Linked DNA regions of Schizosaccharomyces pombe. The gene in region 1 interacts genetically with each later gene. Each region holds a gene or a part of one and is shown on either strand. Other genes may lie near its edges.

Region 1 (7,710 bases):
AATGCGTTGCGTTTTGTCATTATAAAAATTTAATATATAATTAATTGCTAGTTGGATATGGATTAGTGTACTCGGTTATAAATACCGGCCTACATCTTGTACTTTATATCTAATAATCAAAATTATTTCATGTGCTTTGAATCATTCTTATATTTTTTATAACTAAACACATTTAGGTAGTACATTAGATTGGCGATTAATCAGCCCCTGCGAAAAGGCCCCTCGTACAAATTCGCTTCTTTATACTAACTAATTAAACAACAAATCATGAGGTTCGATCGCTTAATTAGTAATAAAGTGTCGACGATTTTTTTATTTTTTGCAATATACATCCAAATACTGCATAACTAAGTGTGCTAATTCTGATAAAAATCATTAACATCGCCTGTAAATTAATTCGTAAATTAGAAAATTAATTCTCTGCGAAAAACCATTAATCAAACCATTAAAATCGAGAAATAATTCAATGATTTCCTTTTCGGTTGAAATTAACAGCTATACCTTTCCGTCGTGCGTTTATCATTCGGAAATTCTAATTTCCCCATGTAATATTTTTTAAGCTTCCCCATAAACCAAAATTCTTATGTTGTTGTCGTACAGAATTGGTATGATCAAAAATTATGATTTTTCCGTAATTTGCAACATCAACGAAAAGATATTCCCATTTATAGTCACCTTGAACATTTACAAGTCTTCCAAATACGTGCCCTTTTCTCTCATTACCGATTAAGTGAAATTGTAGTACTAGATGTTCTACACCATGGTGATCCCACACACGACTAGTCAATATACCATGAGTTCGACGAAGAGGATGCGTGGCTTCACCTAGGGCTTTCATGTGATCTCCAAAAACATATCGACATTCTTCATTAGCCTTTAAAAGTTCAAAAGCTTCATCACCGTAATGTGCCTCGCCCTTCCAGATACTAGTGACAAGTGCATATATAATCAATCCGAAAACGCCGCCTCCAAATATCACAATCGAAAAATTTCCAATATTAGCAGAAGTTCTGTATGCTTTTTGAGGAGCCGTCAAATCCTTCCAAGCTTTGTTAGACGGATCTTTGAAAATTCGTGCCAGGCGCCCTTCTTCTTGTGGTTTCCGTTGTTTATTGAGAGAATCAGAAGCCAAAGAGTATAATCTCCTCTGAACCAAAGCTGAAGAAAACCTTGTAGCGCTCTGCCTTTGAATAGTACGAATCATCTAGTTGATACAAAAAGATGCAAAGAAGATGTATATAGTGACGAGGCTAAACGGCATAAAGGCAATGTCTAGTGAGCTCGACATAGGATGCAATGTAGTTCGTTAAATTTTTGAGCTTTAGCAGTGATATGGTTGTTACACCTCATTATTCCGTTAGTCAGGTAATTTAGTAAAAAGCATACTAAAATTTGAGAGTATTTAGCTTGAAAAGAAAGGAGTAATAATGCAACATCATGATTAAACAACGATATATTAAAAGTCAGGGTTATTTTAAAATGAACGAAAGCGAATTAGGTGGAAGATGATTTAGAAAATTTTCAGTCACTAATAAATTCAATAAACGCACGGTCAATTAATTTATTAAATTAATATATTAACAATCGAAGTAAAACCGTAATTGAAATCCTGAATGTTGATTTGCTGATTAAGAACAGCAATTAGTGCTTCGACGATTATTGTACAATATAAAATGAAAGTAAATAAATTTATCACATTGACTTTGTTACATTGTTTATATAAACCTTTAAAAATAGTTGAATATAGGAGAGGAAACTAGTAAAGTTTACAATTGCTAACCTGCTTCCCTTTAATCCACTCGAGTGATTCTCCTTGTAAACTACATTCTGGGGAAACATAGGTGCAGTCGCTTGGACTTAAGATACCACCATTCTTTAAAATCCAGCTTTTACCTAAACTCAAAATATCGTTTACACAAGTTTCATGGTTGTCATTGGGAGATTTACTTGAATTTTTTAGAGGACTAAATGAAGTCCTACGTGGTACCTGGAAACATCCAAAATTTTCAACTGACACACTGGGAAACAAATCGAAAATAAAACTCTCAAGTTTATATCCATTGGGATTTAAAGGTGTAGTATAATGATGAGACGTTACGTCGTAAAATGGAATTTTCTTGCATGCAAGGTGAATAGGAAGGGTACTTGAGTGCAAAGAAGCTTTCTGTAAGAAATCAAAAGAGAAATAATGGTATGCAATGTTAGCCGCACGAAGCAGCAAATGCTTGTGACCATCAACATTTTCTGTAGCTTTGCATGCTTCGTCAGAAATTTCAGAGTACTCTACAACACAAGGATGATTATGGGAAGATACAAGGAGACCCACTTTTTCAGCAGGATCGATTTTTTCAACAGTTTTAGTGGCAACCTCAAGTTTTTTAGTAGTAGCCATTCCTATGAATACAGGATCAACCGGCAAAACAAGAACATTGTCAACGCTATAAGCCGTAATATGGAGTATACCTCTTCTATTCATATCATTCAATGCACCAGAGGAAAGCAAAGCTTCATAAATACCTCCATTGCCGTTAGGAGCCCAAGCTAATGAAGAATCAGATTCAAAAAGGACCCTACCTGAGATATCTAGACAAGGTAAAACTCCTTGCTGGAAGAAAAAAACGTCTTTCTTATCAATACCAAAGAAATCATTCTCCTTAAAAAAAGAAATTGTCTCCTCTGACGTACATTCAGAAACCATTATATACCATGGAATGCTTATAGAGGCTTCTTGATCGGGAAATGCGGCTCTGGCGAGCGCCAACGATTTCTTAATTTTTTGTGCCTGCAGCTCAAAGATGCTCGGATTATTAGGCAGCCCAAGTCTAAAGCAACCTTTTGGACCAGCAAACCCAAGTCGAGTGCCTTGACCTCCTGCCAATACTAAGGCAGCTACATGACCTCTAGCAATTTCCCGAAGACCTGTTCTCCACCAACTTGAGTCAGACGTATCTACAATAGATAGTGGACCAACTTCTGAAGGGGACAATTTTCTGTTCTCTTGGCTTGTCGCTTTAGCATTTCGATACTTCAACCACAATGACCGTAAGTCCAATTGCTGAACTTGATTTAAAAGTTTCCTAAACTTTTGCAGGTCATTCTTTTTTAAATAATTCAATTGATCATACAAATGTAACTGATTAGTTTCTTCAAATATAGACCGATCAAACAATTCTTTGTCGTCCATTTCGTATTTAGCGTTATAAATACAGTCTAAAAAAAAAAAATGAATGTTTGGCAAACTTGAATCGCTAAAAAAATGCTATTTACGCTTCTTCAAGTGCTCTACTACTATTGTCAGTTAATTTGCAATGTCTTACTTTTATTCGCACTATCGTGTTTACCACACAATAGCGAATTTTTACGCATATAAAGGTTTTAAAAGTTTATATTGCAACTTCTCACCGTTTTTTTCATAAAATTAAAAATGGCAGCGGTTGACAGATCAAGGACAGAAATCTCTGTCCTTTCTGATCGTGTTACAGATGTAGGAAGTGTAGATTTTCCAGGTTATTATTTTGATGAAGACAACATCTGGGATCTTGATAAATTTAAAAAAAATTTAAAAGTTTCGATTACGTCTCTCGATCAAGAAACAATGGTATTTGAAATTTCTGGAATTGATGCATCCATTGCAAATGCATTTAGGAGGATTTTAATCGCCGAGATCCCAACTCTTGCATTTGAGTTCGTGTATATCATAAACAATACGAGCATAATACAAGATGAGGTTTTGTCTCACAGAATAGGTCTTGTACCTATATCTGCTGATCCTGACATGTTTAAATGGTTTCAACATCCTCTGCCAGGACAAGAGGCAACTCATACTGATTACGATACTGTTGTCTTTTCCCTTAATAAGAAATGCGAGTTTAATAAGAATGCCGCTACAGATGAAAAAGATCCAAAGAGACTTTACGTTAACTCTGAGGTTTATTCGGGTGATCTAATTTGGAAACCGCAAGGTCGACAGGAAGAGCGATTTGCTGACAATCCTATACGAGTAGTCAACCCAGATATTGTTGTTGCAAAATTGCGTCCTGGCCAGGAAATCGATTTAGAAGCTCATGCAATCTTAGGTATTGGACAAGACCATGCTAAGTTTTCTCCTGTTGCTACTGCCTCCTACCGCTTATTGCCTACTATACATATCTTGTCTCCTATTGAAGGTGAAGATGCAGTTAAATTTCAAAAATGCTTCCCTAAAGGAGTCATCGAGCTTGAAGAAGGACCTGATGGTAAAAAACAAGCCCGTGTAGCAGACGTTCGAAAAGACACCGTATCCCGCGAATGCTTGAGACATCCCGAATTTGCAGATAAGGTGCAATTAGGCCGCGTACGCGATCATTATTTGTTTTCTGTTGAAAGCACCGGTATTATGAAGCCCGATGTCTTGTTCATTAAAAGCATTGCAGTCCTAAAATCGAAATGTCTAGCCGTAAAGTCTAGTCTTCAGAATATTTCTTCTGACTGAATGTCTGTTAAATTAGTTTTATATGTAATCTTTTGGATAATTGGGTACGCTGTTAAAAAATATACTTTTGAAAGTTATTGATTTCTATATTTCAATATTAACATTTTGTCCTTTCTTTAATTTTAAATTTAATTCATCATAGACATGTATTTTGTTGATAACCAGTAGACCTTTTAAAAAGAAGTGTTGGTTTTCAATCACTACTTGCCATCCTTTGAAAGTCCTTATAAAATGCTTTGAGAATTTATATGAAAGCGACGCCTTTAATTGATGCAACTGAAAAAATTACTTTTCATTATATTTTTACAGGGATTTTGAAGTCCTATCTATTAAATTACCTAAATTAAACTAGACTGATTGTATAAATTTTAAAAATATTGTAAATGCCGGTTTTAACTAATTTGCAAAGAATGTGCCTAAGCATGCAGCAGAGTCTTAGTTAAGTTGCTTTGTTACTACATGATTGAACTATTATAGGAAAAGAAAAATAAAATAGAATCAGTTCTAACATATTCAGGAAACGCCATTTTGCTGATCTTTTCTAGATCAATCCTGACTGAGTAGAGAGTAGCCACAACATGACTCAGCAACAACAAACTTACCCCAAGCGTATACCATGCAAGGATTTGGGAGCCAAATTTTTCGGAAATTGCTGCGTAGTAGTAATGCTAAAGTGTCAGATGCACTTTTACAAAATACGCGTACCCTTTTCACCGCTCCGCCTTTACATTCTGGGTTACAAACTTCATTCACCGCTGAAACTCAACAACATGTAAGGCAGAATTCTCAAAATTTGGTATGTAAAGGCTGATGTTTCCACCTTTTTCTAACAGGTAAATAGCTGAAACAATTAAATGATGAAATGAAGGCGCGCAAGTATACGGAAACCGTTGCTACTTTCAGCAGCCTGAAACCATTTGGCATTTTAGATAGTCAAACCATTAATAGATACATTTTGTTTTTGGTAGATCGGATTAAAATGCTCAATGGGAGAGGTAATGTAGATGAAGCTACTCTCGACAAACTTGATGATATACTTCGATATGCAATTGAACACCAAGAGATTGCCTCTGCTAGGTTTTGGCGAATTATGCTCCAATCATATATCGACCTAAACCTTTTTGACAAGGCTTCATTAATTGCTGATATGAGCTTAAGCCATATGGAGTTTTTACCTAAAGATGAACGAGTTTTAGGCAACCTCTACATCTCAGCACTTCAAGCTAAGATACTTGGAGGTGCCAGTTTTGAACAGTGTGGAAAAATAGGTTCAGCCATTCACGAGCAACTTGAAGGGAAAGAAGTTGTAAATGAATTGGTTGCTGTGTATTTGATTTATACTGTTTTCAAAGATCAAGGTATTAGCAGTAAAGCTCATAAAGCTTTAGTTCAATTTAACGGACTAACAAGTTTTCACTCCGATGTCATTATTTCAGTGTTTGTCAACAAAGGTCTCGTCGATCAAGCTGCTGCTTATCTGAAAAATTCTAATCTTAACGAAAGAAATCTACCAACGATCTATACAACCGTTTGGTTACTTCAAAGACTTTTTGAAGCACACCATTCTCTAGATCCTTTGCTAACTATTTTCGATTATTATCTTTCAGTGTCACCCAAAGATATCACTCGTTTGACAAATGCTATTTTAAGTCTTTCAATGAAGCAATTTGAACGAGATCGGGATATTAAAAAGGCTACCGACTTTATCACTACGTTTATCAACAAGATGTCAGATGTAAAGGAGTTCAAACCATCCATTAGTACTGCCAACACCTTGTTCTCTATTGCTAGTCGTTTAAAGGATGTAAAATGGCTTTCTGCTGGATTTGATATGATAGACAAGTACGGGTTAAAGCCTACTCATGTCACTTATCGGTCATTATTGAAAGCATACTGTTTATTGCCAAGCACATGTGAGCAAATTTCGCAGGCTTGGGTAAATCTTGAGTATCGTCTTGAAGCTATTTCCATTTCTGTTGCAGATAAAGAAATAAATCTCCTAAAGGACTGCATTCTATCTCAACCTGACAGAGATGATCAACAAAGTTGCCTGCAATTTCTGAATATGGTGCTATCAAAATACGGTAAACATATACGTTCGCCATAAATTTTTTTGCACTTTGGATAATCTCATATAGTTCTTCCTTTTAACGAGATTACGATTAAATGTGTACATCACAGCCATATTACCTGCATGCATTAAAGTTCAAAAGTGTTCACTCCCATCTTTTAATATGTCCCACACTTTCACAAATTGAGTTATTTATTTTATTTAGGAACGTTTCGGTGGTGATTTTTGATTTTCGTTTTATGAAGTTACCTGGATGGGTTTAATTGTTTACCTCTTTGATATTTGTTAATTTTCCTTAACGTACATACTCCTTTCTGTTTTTTGCTATAGCCATCTTTTATATTAAATATATATTTTTTTATTCCAGATACAGGTTTTGTGTTCGTCTTAATAGTTTAGCATCTAAAAACACCTGTTTATTCTCAAGAGATATGGATAGTTTGAAATACTTAGAAGCTTTGCCTGGTTTATGACAAGTACGAAAAGTAAGGGATTTAAACCGCGCTAAGTTATGCTGTTAAAGACAGCTTTAAACGAATATTAGAGGATATTTTTCCCGGTATTTGTAGGTATGTCTTGCTAGTGGAAAATTTGTAAGTTAAATTATTATCACTATATTTTAATGCTTTATATGCACTCAAACAGCTGGGGTCGGTGTATGTCATTGTATTAATGTGAGACCAAAGTGCTTTATTGTACTCTATGAATCACAAATTTTGCTTTACATTAAAGTATTAGTTTAAATTTTAACTGCTTATCTCGCAAAAAATACGCTGCCTAGAAAATATACTAAGTTTAAAATAGTAATTCATTTAGGTATGGTGGTTGTTAAAAAGAGCATATAAATAGAAAAATTTGATGTTTTGAAAGTAATGTCTATAAAACATAAATGAGTTATGTTTAGCAATGCTTATATTTGCAAGGATGCTGTATACGCCGTAACAGCATTATTAGATGCACTTGTTAAATTCAGTGCTGCTCGAACGTACTATCATGTAATATTGTAAGATTCAAATGGTTTCTGCTATCTGTTTACTTACAGTTCTTGATCATATGCCTAAAAATGTAAAACAATACCGAATTTACTTATTAAGTTCCAGTTCACCTGAGCAAACAACGGCGCGTTGCCCAACAATTATAACCGAGGATAGTAAGAATCTGATTTTAT
Region 2 (4,891 bases), on another chromosome or scaffold:
GAAAATTCTAAAGCCATTAGAATATTCGCTCATTTTATATATCAATGGCCCAGTTGTAATAGTCAGTCGAATAGTTAATTGAATAAACTACTTTAGATCTACATGCGCAATAAGTTTTAAGTTTGGGGTTTTTACTGAACATTTTTCATCCCCAACAACGGTTCATATATTGAAACAATAGTGCGTCAGACAATTCGCAATTTTTTTTTTCTAAAAACAGTATATTCTCTACTTTTCAGTCAGTTAATATATTCCGGAACAAAGTCATATTCTTCTTAAAACTTATTCATACTAGTGCTGCTTGTGTAAAAAAAGAATCAAATACAAAACATGTTACTTGACAGATCCTCTATAATAGAATATGGAAACGAAATAGAAATGAGAATGATTGAAGTTCAAGCTTAAAGTCAGTAATAGATTTGCTTTTTGCATAAGAAAAAAATCAGTGGAAAACGCTTTGAAATCCTTAAAGCATTTTTTGTATTTGCGTAAGACATTGTCTGCTATATGCTTTCAGAGGAGTTTTAGAAATCCAATAGCAGAAATTCATCATTAATGTTAAAGGTAGCTGAATACAAATTAAACAGCGTTAAAATCAAAATCCGATAAACCTTCACGTTCATTCCGTGGTTACATTTGTAGTTCATTTTTGTCAACCATCGCCGTTCTATATACTTGCTAACTATAGTACAATGTGTGCCATCAAAACTTTGAAAATTTAATCCTAATAGTTTAAAACAAATGTTACAGTTTAAGTATTTCAATGTCCAAGACTTCAAATATGGAGTTTTACCTAACTTGCATAGAAACTCGGTATTATAATAAAAGACAATGACGGATTCGGGGTATTAAATGAAGACTTCAGCTGTATAAAAGCTTTTCTGTTATATATCTTAAATTTTGTGGATTCCAAATTAGCTTTCAAATACAAACTGTGCCATTTTACACAACCTCGATCATTCATAAAACAATAATAAACTTGCTCACTTACAAACAAGTCTTAAGAATTGATTTAAGTCAATGTCTGATTGCAAACATATTAACAATCTGTGATAAATTTCTTTTGCCATGTATTTCTAACTTTAGGTTGATGAGTTCAAACCTCCTATGAATCGACGTATATCGTTGTTGATATTTCACATAAACTTGGACTCGCCAATCTTTGTTCATATTTTAATGCTTATTTATTCAGATAATTCCCAGGTGACTAGCAGTTTGAACTAAGCAAGACGTTGTCAACGACTTCAAACATCGCAAGCTTATGGAATAAAAGAAAAAAAATTACATGTTTCTACTCGTAAGTGAAATAAAAATTCCCGGACTCCCATTTACCAATCCTTCGTTTTTTGTATTACCATATACTATCTTTCACGTTTGCATCTAGCATCTAAAACTGTTCACTTCTAAAAACAATTCATTTTAAGAGAAATAATCATTTTTTCTTATTTGAATAAACTCAATTCTTACTGCCTCGTTTCCTTGTTTTTGCAAAAAAAAAAAACATAATCATTGCTATAGGTTTACAACTTCATATCCGTTTCTTTATGTCAATTTATTCTTTTTTACAGAATGGCTACTGTGAAACTTAGTTTTTTACAGCACATCTGTAAGTTAACTGGATTGTCAAGAAGTGGAAGAAAGGATGAGTTGCTTCGAAGAATTGTTGACTCTCCTATTTATCCCACCTCTCGGGTACTTGGTATTGACTTGGGAATCAAAAATTTCTCTTACTGCTTTGCAAGTCAAAATGAAGATTCTAAAGTTATTATCCACAATTGGTCTGTTGAAAATCTAACTGAAAAAAATGGGCTTGATATACAATGGACCGAAGACTTCCAGCCTAGCTCCATGGCTGATCTTTCAATACAACTGTTTAATACATTACACGAAAAATTCAATCCGCATGTCATTCTTATGGAACGCCAGCGTTATCGTTCCGGTATTGCTACGATTCCAGAGTGGACGCTACGAGTAAATATGCTTGAAAGCATGCTGTATGCGTTACACTACGCAGAAAAAAGAAATTCAATCGAACAGAAAATACAATATCCTTTCCTTCTTTCTCTGTCCCCAAAATCTACATACTCGTATTGGGCATCAGTTTTGAATACGAAAGCATCTTTTTCAAAGAAGAAGAGTAGAGTACAAATGGTCAAGGAATTAATAGATGGTCAAAAAATCCTATTTGAAAATGAAGAAGCTCTGTATAAATGGAACAACGGTTCTAGGGTTGAATTTAAAAAGGACGATATGGCAGATTCTGCTTTGATTGCAAGCGGTTGGATGAGATGGCAAGCCCAACTGAAGCATTATAGAAACTTTTGCAAACAGTTTCTGAAACAATAGAAATGAACGATTGCCGTACGAATGTTTAGCCAATTTGTATATTGTAGTTTTATTCAAAGAAAAACTATCGTATATTGCATTTCATGATCCTATAAAAAAGGAAGAAATTAAACTAAATTCATAAAATTAATAATGATAACAAAAGGAATGCAGGCACATGTATCAAAGATCTTCTTTGAGCATTATTCTAAACTTCAACGATGAAAAATAACAAAACATAAAGAACATGAAATGAATTTTTTAAAAAAAATAAGAATGATGACAAACAAAAAAAGGTAATAAGGCCTTAAAAATAGCAACCCGACCTTGCTCATTTCAAAAACCCAAGTTTATATCCTCTATATTTCATGCATACAAAAGCACCAATAACAGCACCGAAAAATGAAATTTTTTATAATAAATTTGTATGAAACGGCTTTGAAGACGTAAAGAAAAAAGTAGAACTTGCAGTGAAGCCACAAAAGTCATAAGAGGACCATGATAGCGTCTGAGATCCTTTAAAAAAAACATAAAAAAACGCAACTCGTGATTGTTTAGTTCCCCAACAGAGTAAACCCTGGATAACACGCATTTACACAAGATTTAATCCCTAAAGTAAAGAAAGACGAGAAAAAATTAGTAGTATAAACACGTGGAAAACACACACACCTTTTGGAAATTGGTACATGATAGCTTTCAGGGAAAATTTAATATAATAAGCAATAGACCGTTTATACAAGGAAGAAAAGTAAACGAACCTAAGGTATAACGAATCATAAACTGTTAACTATAAAAGGTTTTCATTAAATGAAAGTAAGCAAAGGAAACTCAAAAAGAGTAGCGATATATGATAAAAAGGTTATATTAAGCAAATTGTTAATTATTGATCTTCGTTTGGAGGCACCGAAGAGTGTGAAGGTAAGGCTTCATTACCTGGGGTATCATTGCGCATGTTAGGAACAGAATGATGCTCTGCATGAGCAAAGGACCTTCCATGGAAATGTCGCTCTCTTCTCGGTCTTGAATCAACGTTGTATCTTTCTTTGCGGTAATTTCCGGGAGAATGTTCTCGTTGAGGCCTAGATGGACGATAAGAGTTTCGATATCTATTAGAATCGCGGTCACGATAATTATTTCTACGATATCCCCCATCTTTATTGTTGCTTGGAAAATCCCTGGAATTTCTTCTTCTATCATAGCCCATATATTTTCCTGGAGTTGGAGAATGAGGGCGAGATCGCTTGGCTTTCTGAACGTTAAGTACTCGTCCGTAAAATTCCTGAGAGTTCAAATTGTCAATAGCTGAGGTTGCTTCCTCAACAGTTGAAAATGATAAGAACCCAAAACCCCTTGAAGCTTTTGTAACTGGTTCTCTCATGATTCTCACATGAGTAACAGTACCAAACTTGGAGAAGATTTGCTGAAGCTCGTCCTCTTGCATTCTGGAAGCAATTCCACTAACAAATAAATCATTGCCTAGATTTTCGGATCCTTCAGGAGCGCTTTGCGGCTCTTTCTTATCGAGAGCAGTAGATTCATTGTTCGGGTCGACTTCATCTTCGTTCATCGACTGCAAAGGTTCCCCCGCAGTGTCAAGCTGGTGTACATTCATAGCAATAGACCCTGCGTCAGAGTCTGTCTCCCCAGCATCTTTCTCAATCTCAAGTTGGTGTATATCCTGAGAAGTTTCCGTTTCTAAAACTGCCGAACCAGCTACGTCGGCGTTTGGGATTTCAAATGATTCCTCAGATGTCGCGGGAGGTAGAGTATCCATTTCTCAAATAAAGTATATGATGAATAAAGGGAAATTTTAAAATTGCCTTGGCTGCTAAAGAGGCTTACAAATGCAGCAATTGGGGTTCAATCAGATAAAATGGGTGAATGACCAAGAAAGCAACAAGAAGAATACCAAATGTTTATCAAAGTTTCCGAACCTAATTCAAAACAAGCGAAATCAATTGTAAATCAAAATTCCTGCAATTAATGAATGGGGAAGTATATGTGTCGCGTCTCTGCAACGACCTTAAGATTCCGACTAACCTAGCGTAATTTAAGCTATAGGTCGTAGCGAAGTATAGTGGGGTGCACCGCATAAGTTGACAAGAAGTAAATAGTAGTCAGTAAGAGAGTTTTTTTTCAATCCAAAGTGTATATATTATGATAGTATAAATTAAAATGTAAGAAAGAACCCCCCCATAATTCAACAATACTCGATAAAAATTATAAATTGATTTAAACAGCATCGTGGGGGAATTCAATTTCACCCGACAGATTGCCATATTGACTTTTGGGGAAAACGCAATTTCTAAACGCTATAGAAAATCACTTCACTGGATTAGAGAAGTTTACATTCAACAATAATTTTATATTCTTATCTTTGCAAGCTATATCACCAATACAGTGTAGGTATATCTTAATACTATTCAGGTTTATATATGGTAACTTCACTCCATTTCGCTAAGCCGATAAAGTCAGGGAGAGGCAGTAAAAAGGTAACGTGGTATAAAAATACTTTTTGCTTAATTTTTATAATGTTCGTTTTTGTTCCAAGGGTTATTTTTAAGCT
Region 3 (5,505 bases), on another chromosome or scaffold:
TCTTCCTTTTCAGCCGAAAAAATTTTTAGTAAACTAAAGCACTTACTGACGCGTACGCGCGATTCATACATTTCCGAAGATACCAAAATTCTTCGATTATTGAACCGATCAAGTAGTAAACTGCAAGATCGTGACCAAGAGTATTTAATTTCTAAAAACAATGTGAATGGAAATGGAAACAGAGATTGGGTTCAACCCGTGAACACTACCTCTAGCGTTAGTGCTTTTGCTTCACCAAGGATAAAACCTAAACTGCTTTTTCAACCAAATCAGGATGAAAAATTAAAACTTTGCAAATTAGATCTAGCTAAAGCAAACTCAATCACTTTAAAATCCGAGCCATCTTCCGCTGTTTCAACGCATTCTTTTGAGGTTCATCTGAGTATGCCAGGAACACAAATAAAAAGTGCTAACTTAGCAGAAAAAATGGAAACTTCAAAACACAAGGTTTTTAATCCAAAAAGGATTGATGTTGTTAGTGATCTTCCCTTAGACTATCGAAAGTCGTACTATGGCCGATTTTCCATAACTGATACCAAGAGGTTTTCTAAAATAGAAAATATGAGAATCAAAGAAGTTATTGATGGGAATCCATTCAAAGCTCCACCTCCTGCACCATTACCACCTCCTGCACCTCCTTTACCAACTGCAATGTCTTCTCTCCAGAAATTTGAAAAAAATGATTCACAAATTTTTCGGAAGACGATAATTATTCCCGAAAATATTTCAATCGATGACATATTTAAATTCTGTTCAGGTTCAGAGTCTGAAGTGTATGCAAGCAAAATTCCTGGTGAGCTATGCAATCCTTCTAAACGGCTAAAGCAGCTTCATTGGAAACGCCTCGAAGTTCCTTTCGAAAAAACTCTATGGAATATTGTAGTTGCAGATCCTTATTTATTAACTTTAAAACTTACTGCGGAAGGGATTTTTAAGCAACTCGAAGATTGTTATCCATTGAGAGAAGTAACAGTTTCCAATAAAAAAGTTAAGGAATATACCGGATTTATGCCAGTTGATTTACAGCAAATGGTTAGTATTCGTTTGCATAGATTCAATTCCTTGACACCAATTGAAATTGCCAAAAAATTTTTTCATTGCGACCATGATATCATGGAACTAGTCGATTTTTTTAATGACCGAAAGTTTTTTCGACAAGAAGGTCTTAAAAAGCAACTAAAGCCTTATATGTCATCTCGAAACGAAGAGGTAATGGAAGTAAGTGAAAAGCTTTTAGAATTGTCTCGTTTCGATCAAATTTATACGTTAATTGTTGTTGACATTGATACTTATTACGAAAAAAGAATGGCAGCTTTAAAAATCAAATCGTTTCTGGCCAACAACTTTAGGGATTTTAGAAGACAAATAAGGAAACTTCATTGTGCTTCTTTAGAGTTGAAATCTAGTTTGCATTTCAAGTATTTTTTAAATTTGGTCCTTCATATTGGCAATTTTATGAATGATGCACCCCGTCGAGCTAAAGGGTATCGATTGGAAAGTTTACTAAGAGCTTCCATGATTAAAAATGACAAAACAGGATTAACACTTCTTCATACTATTGAAAAAATAGTTCGGACTCACTTTCCACAATTGGAAGCTTTTCTCGTGGATTTGAAAGCCATTCCCGAGATTTCCAGATTTAATTTGGAGCAGTTGGAGCAGGATTGTAATGATATTTGTGAACGGATGAAAAATGTTGAAAAGGACTTTAGCAATGAAGGCATTTTTTCGAATCATAAAGCTCTTCATCCTGATGACCATATCTGTGAAGTCATGGTTCCATGGATTCCATCAGGAAAATCAATGGTGGATGAACTTAATTCTGATATTACTGAACTAAAAACAACCCTTAAAACAACTCTCTTAATGTATGGTGAAAATCCAGATGAACCTACATCGAGTGCTAGGTTTTTCAATAATTTAAACGAAATAATACTGGAGTACAAAAAGGCTAGCACTGTAAATCAGAAGATGGAGAAGGAAGAAGAACTTGCTTTTCTAAGACTACAAGCTTTAAAAGCATCTGTTAAAAGCAATAATGCAGAAAATAGTGGTTCTTCAAAGAATGAGGAAGTTTCAGCAACAATGGAAAATTTAATATCTCAGCTACAGAAAGGTTTGTGTGATGATTCTTTAAGCAACAAAACCGATTGCACTGAATCATCGAAACAAACAATCGAAACTCTAATGAATTATGAAAATGATAAACAAACTCTAGAAGGCTCAAATAAAAAGAGACAAACAGTCGTCCTTAAAGCTGAATGCATGCTTAAGCAGCTGGAGAATAACAATGAACTTAAGAGATAATGATGTTTGAAATGTTAATGACTTTTAATGACAATTAAATGACTTAAACAAATTATAATGAAATTATAATTAATAAAAGGTATAATTATTAATTCTAGTAAGACTGTAATGCTTGTTAAAGATAGAATTAAGCATCTAAAGGATAACTTTTCTAGTAATCTATTTTGCTCGGGAAATCTTAAAGTAATCAGTAAATACATCAGTTCCAACTTTTAATGATTCTTGAACGTCGTCCCAGGTACTACGCTTTTCCTCTTCTCGAGTTCCCCTATTTTTTTTGTCTTCTTTGAGCCATTCCAAACATGTCTCTAGAAGGGCGCTATTTCCCGTAGAGGACCTTGTCATCAGAGCACCAAACTTGGATATTGGTCCATAATCCACGATACGCCCAAGACTGAGATGGACCAAGTGAGTTGGCCACTCAGCTAAACCATCAAATATATGTGTTGCATAAACAATAGTAGCATTCCTTACTTCCGTTTCCTCTTGCAAAAAATTTAACAAATCTGCCCGGGCAAGAACATCCAAATCTACAGTTACTTCATCAAGTAAAAGTACTTCAAATGGACGCAGAAGTCCCATACATAGTTGAACACGTCGTCTTTCACCATCGGACACTGCATGCATTCGCCAACGAAGATCTATATCAAGAATTGAAATCAAGAAATCCCTACGTTCGGCAAATTTATCTCCTCCAACAGAAGCAATTAATCGTGCAACACTCATATCCCTATGTATAACAGGGTTGTTAACCCATTCTACAAACGCACACATCAGTAAAATTTGATGTTAAAAGAACTTACCAGTTCCTAAATAAACAAATGCAGAACTAGACTCACGAAAAGGATCTTTACCACCCACCGATATATGTCCTGCTTTCGCAAGCGATTTTCCAGATAAAAGTTTAAGTAAAGTTGATTTTCCTGTTTAACAAAATTCCAAGAGGACATCAGTTAGCATTTAAATATTCTTCATCAATTTCCATAACACCGCGAAACTTACCAGCTCCATTGGCTCCAACAAGTAAAGTCCTTGATCCTTTAGGAAGATCTAAAGTTACGTGATCAAGACTTAAAGGCTGCTTTGGAGAAAACGTGTAAGAGAGGTTTGAAACAGTTACTTCCATTTTGAAATAGAATGTTTTAACAGTAGTAAAATATAATTATCTAAGAACTTAGTTTTACAATATATAAAGGATCCAAAAAAAGGCGCAAATTAAATAACACTCAAACTTTGTGGGTTAGCTGGATTGTGTTTAGTACATCTGTGTATCAAGTAAAGTGTGGAGGGAATGCAGTAAAGTTGTTATAAGCAAGACCTCGTACTAATAAATTAGCTTTCCAAGTCTTTGTAAAGAACCTTTTTTAACTATTAAGTAATGCTGCCCATATTTGGAGATGCTATTAAGACCTTGAACACACATCCTGCGGAGTCTTGGAAAGAAAAATGATTAACATCGATGGAACAATTGGCAAACAATATATATAGGAGATAGAAGCAGATAACATTTGTAATCAACTACAATTTATGCTACATATTATTTGGCTTAAAACTAAGTAATAATACTTTCCTAAGGTCACCCCATTTCGTTTAAGACAACAGACAAACCTAACATTCGCATGGAATTTTTTAACAGCAGGCGGACATTTCTCAAATAAAAAAATATAAATATAATATTATTTCATTCCTGCTAAACGATTTTAGCTTTTCAACGTAGTATTGCCCATATCATTAGACTTAATATATTAAACAACAAACAAACATCGATATGGGCGAAGGGCTTTATATAACGCGGTACGTAAAATAGTCTTACCTCAAACCGTTTTCTCACACCGTGATTTTAATTGAATTAAGTATTACTATTTTTCGGTTCTTTAACCAATTGTTTTAATTAGATAGTGTACATTTTTCGTGAAAAAAAAGAACCATTAATATCAGCACTTAATTATTCACTTTAATGAGCAGCAGAAGAAATGACTACCACTATGATGGAAACGACCACCAGTATCGTAGTCCTTTGAAATCAAACGTTGATCAAAACAGTTTTTATGAATCTAGTTATAGGAGCCGACAATCCTACCATCAAAGAACAAAAACACCCAGATCTAGTTATGATTCACCCTCTTCATCTACAAATTCCAAGGAACACAATTCTCCCTATCATTATAGAGTCCCTAGCAATAATTCAACAAGAGCGTCTTTTGGGGCAGCTTCTACGGATACGAATGTAGAATTGCCGAAGATTAATCTTCCAGACTCGAGTTTGTCAAGTAAACTTCAAAGCTGCAAGTCTGCGTGCGAGAATTCATCCCAGAGTTTATTGAATGTCGAACAACAATACGCTCAACAAGTACATTTTTGGGAAAAAATTAGAACGGATATATACCGAGAAGGTCTACGTAGTGATGCAGCTGTAAAAAGCTTAAACGATTTTGTAAATAATGTCAGCTTCTAAATAAATTATTGCAATCATCGTCTGCGTACAAATCATTGAGCTTCCGCTTTGTGGATATTATTATGACTTTTTATTGAAAGTTTTATCCCAAACCCATATTTATAAACATGAATGTTTTTGTATAGCGTTTTTTTTTTTAAAAAAAAAAAATAAAAATAAAAAAACGCTTCATACACTCTAAACATTCTCAGACTACTTCGGTTCTCTCCCTTTTAACGTATAATATGCATTTTAGATTTTCTGAAGTTTCATTACGGTGAAAGTGCTGTAATGGACACAGCGTTCTAAATGTCTTCTTTTTTAATTTTCAAAAACAAACTCGAAAATAACAAATTTTCGCCTTGCATATCCAATAAACGAATATGTCTATAGCCTTGTTGCAGTCTGTCAATCGGACAAGTAAAATTAGCAAATATAGAGTCATTTCCATTACTTCCTCGATGATGGACGAGAAATCGGATCATGGAATAAAAGTCATCACTAATTATACTCTCATAAACCATGGTTTCTCCCCAAAAAGGTCGAAATCCATTTTCGTGCACAACTTTGGAACACCAACGAAAAGGAGATTCTTCCATTGAATGAACTTGGATCTCAACATAAGGGCTGAGAGTTTCAGAATTAGAAAGTTCTCTAGCTCTTCTAAGTTGTTGCCCAGATATGACATCTATTGTTAATTTTATTTTACGAGGAAGTCCTTCTTCGCCAACTGTTGTACCAATTATTCGTTGACAAGGTGGCTT

The links. Genes that interact genetically often act in the same process or in processes that back each other up.
Region 2: mutations in ppr8 (region 1) and cce1 together harm fitness more than expected from each alone (negative genetic interaction), as found in Schizosaccharomyces pombe (one large-scale study listed by BioGRID).
Region 3: mutations in ppr8 (region 1) and caf16 together harm fitness less than expected from each alone (positive genetic interaction), as found in Schizosaccharomyces pombe (one large-scale study listed by BioGRID).

Annotation. Positions count from the first base shown.
Region 1 is NC_003423.3:4,392,814-4,400,523, reverse strand, and holds ppr8 (PPR repeat-containing protein Ppr8), read left to right. Parts: upstream 1-5,076; 5' UTR 5,077-5,087; coding exon 5,088-5,267; intron 5,268-5,312; coding exon 5,313-6,578; 3' UTR 6,579-6,914; downstream 6,915-7,710. Other genes in the region: TIM23 translocase complex subunit Tim21, read right to left, coding at 533-1,204; uap1 (UDP-N-acetylglucosamine diphosphorylase Uap1/Qri1(predicted)), read right to left, coding at 1,757-3,184; DNA-directed RNA polymerase I and III subunit Rpc40, read left to right, coding at 3,425-4,471. UniProt on the Schizosaccharomyces pombe protein: Mitochondrial RNA-binding protein involved in mitochondrial translation. The cox1 mRNA is one target but it is not clear if ppr8 has a single or multiple targets.
Region 2 is NC_003424.3:4,294,584-4,299,474, reverse strand, and holds cce1 (cruciform cutting endonuclease Cce1), read left to right. Parts: upstream 1-1,569; coding exon 1,570-2,346; 3' UTR 2,347-2,539; downstream 2,540-4,891. Other genes in the region: SPOM_SPAC25G10.01 (mRNA splicing or mRNA surveillance facor), read right to left, coding at 3,206-4,099. UniProt on the Schizosaccharomyces pombe protein: Capable of resolving Holliday junctions. Specific for 4-way junctions. Seems to be important for the maintenance of mitochondrial DNA. Cleaves fixed junctions at the point of strand exchange. Cleaves after 5'-CT-3' and 5'-TT-3' sequences.
Region 3 is NC_003424.3:4,810,027-4,815,531, reverse strand, and holds caf16 (CCR4-Not complex subunit Caf16), read right to left. Parts: upstream 3,565-5,505; 5' UTR 3,434-3,564; coding exon 3,310-3,433; exon of another isoform or gene 3,231-3,309; coding exon 3,111-3,230; exon of another isoform or gene 3,066-3,110; coding exon 2,467-3,065; 3' UTR 2,353-2,466; downstream 1-2,352. Other genes in the region: formin Fus1, read left to right, coding at 1-2,307; histone H2B-K119 ubiquitin ligase complex (HULC) subunit Shf1, read left to right, coding at 4,265-4,762; phosphoinositide phospholipase C Plc1, read right to left, coding at 5,047-5,505.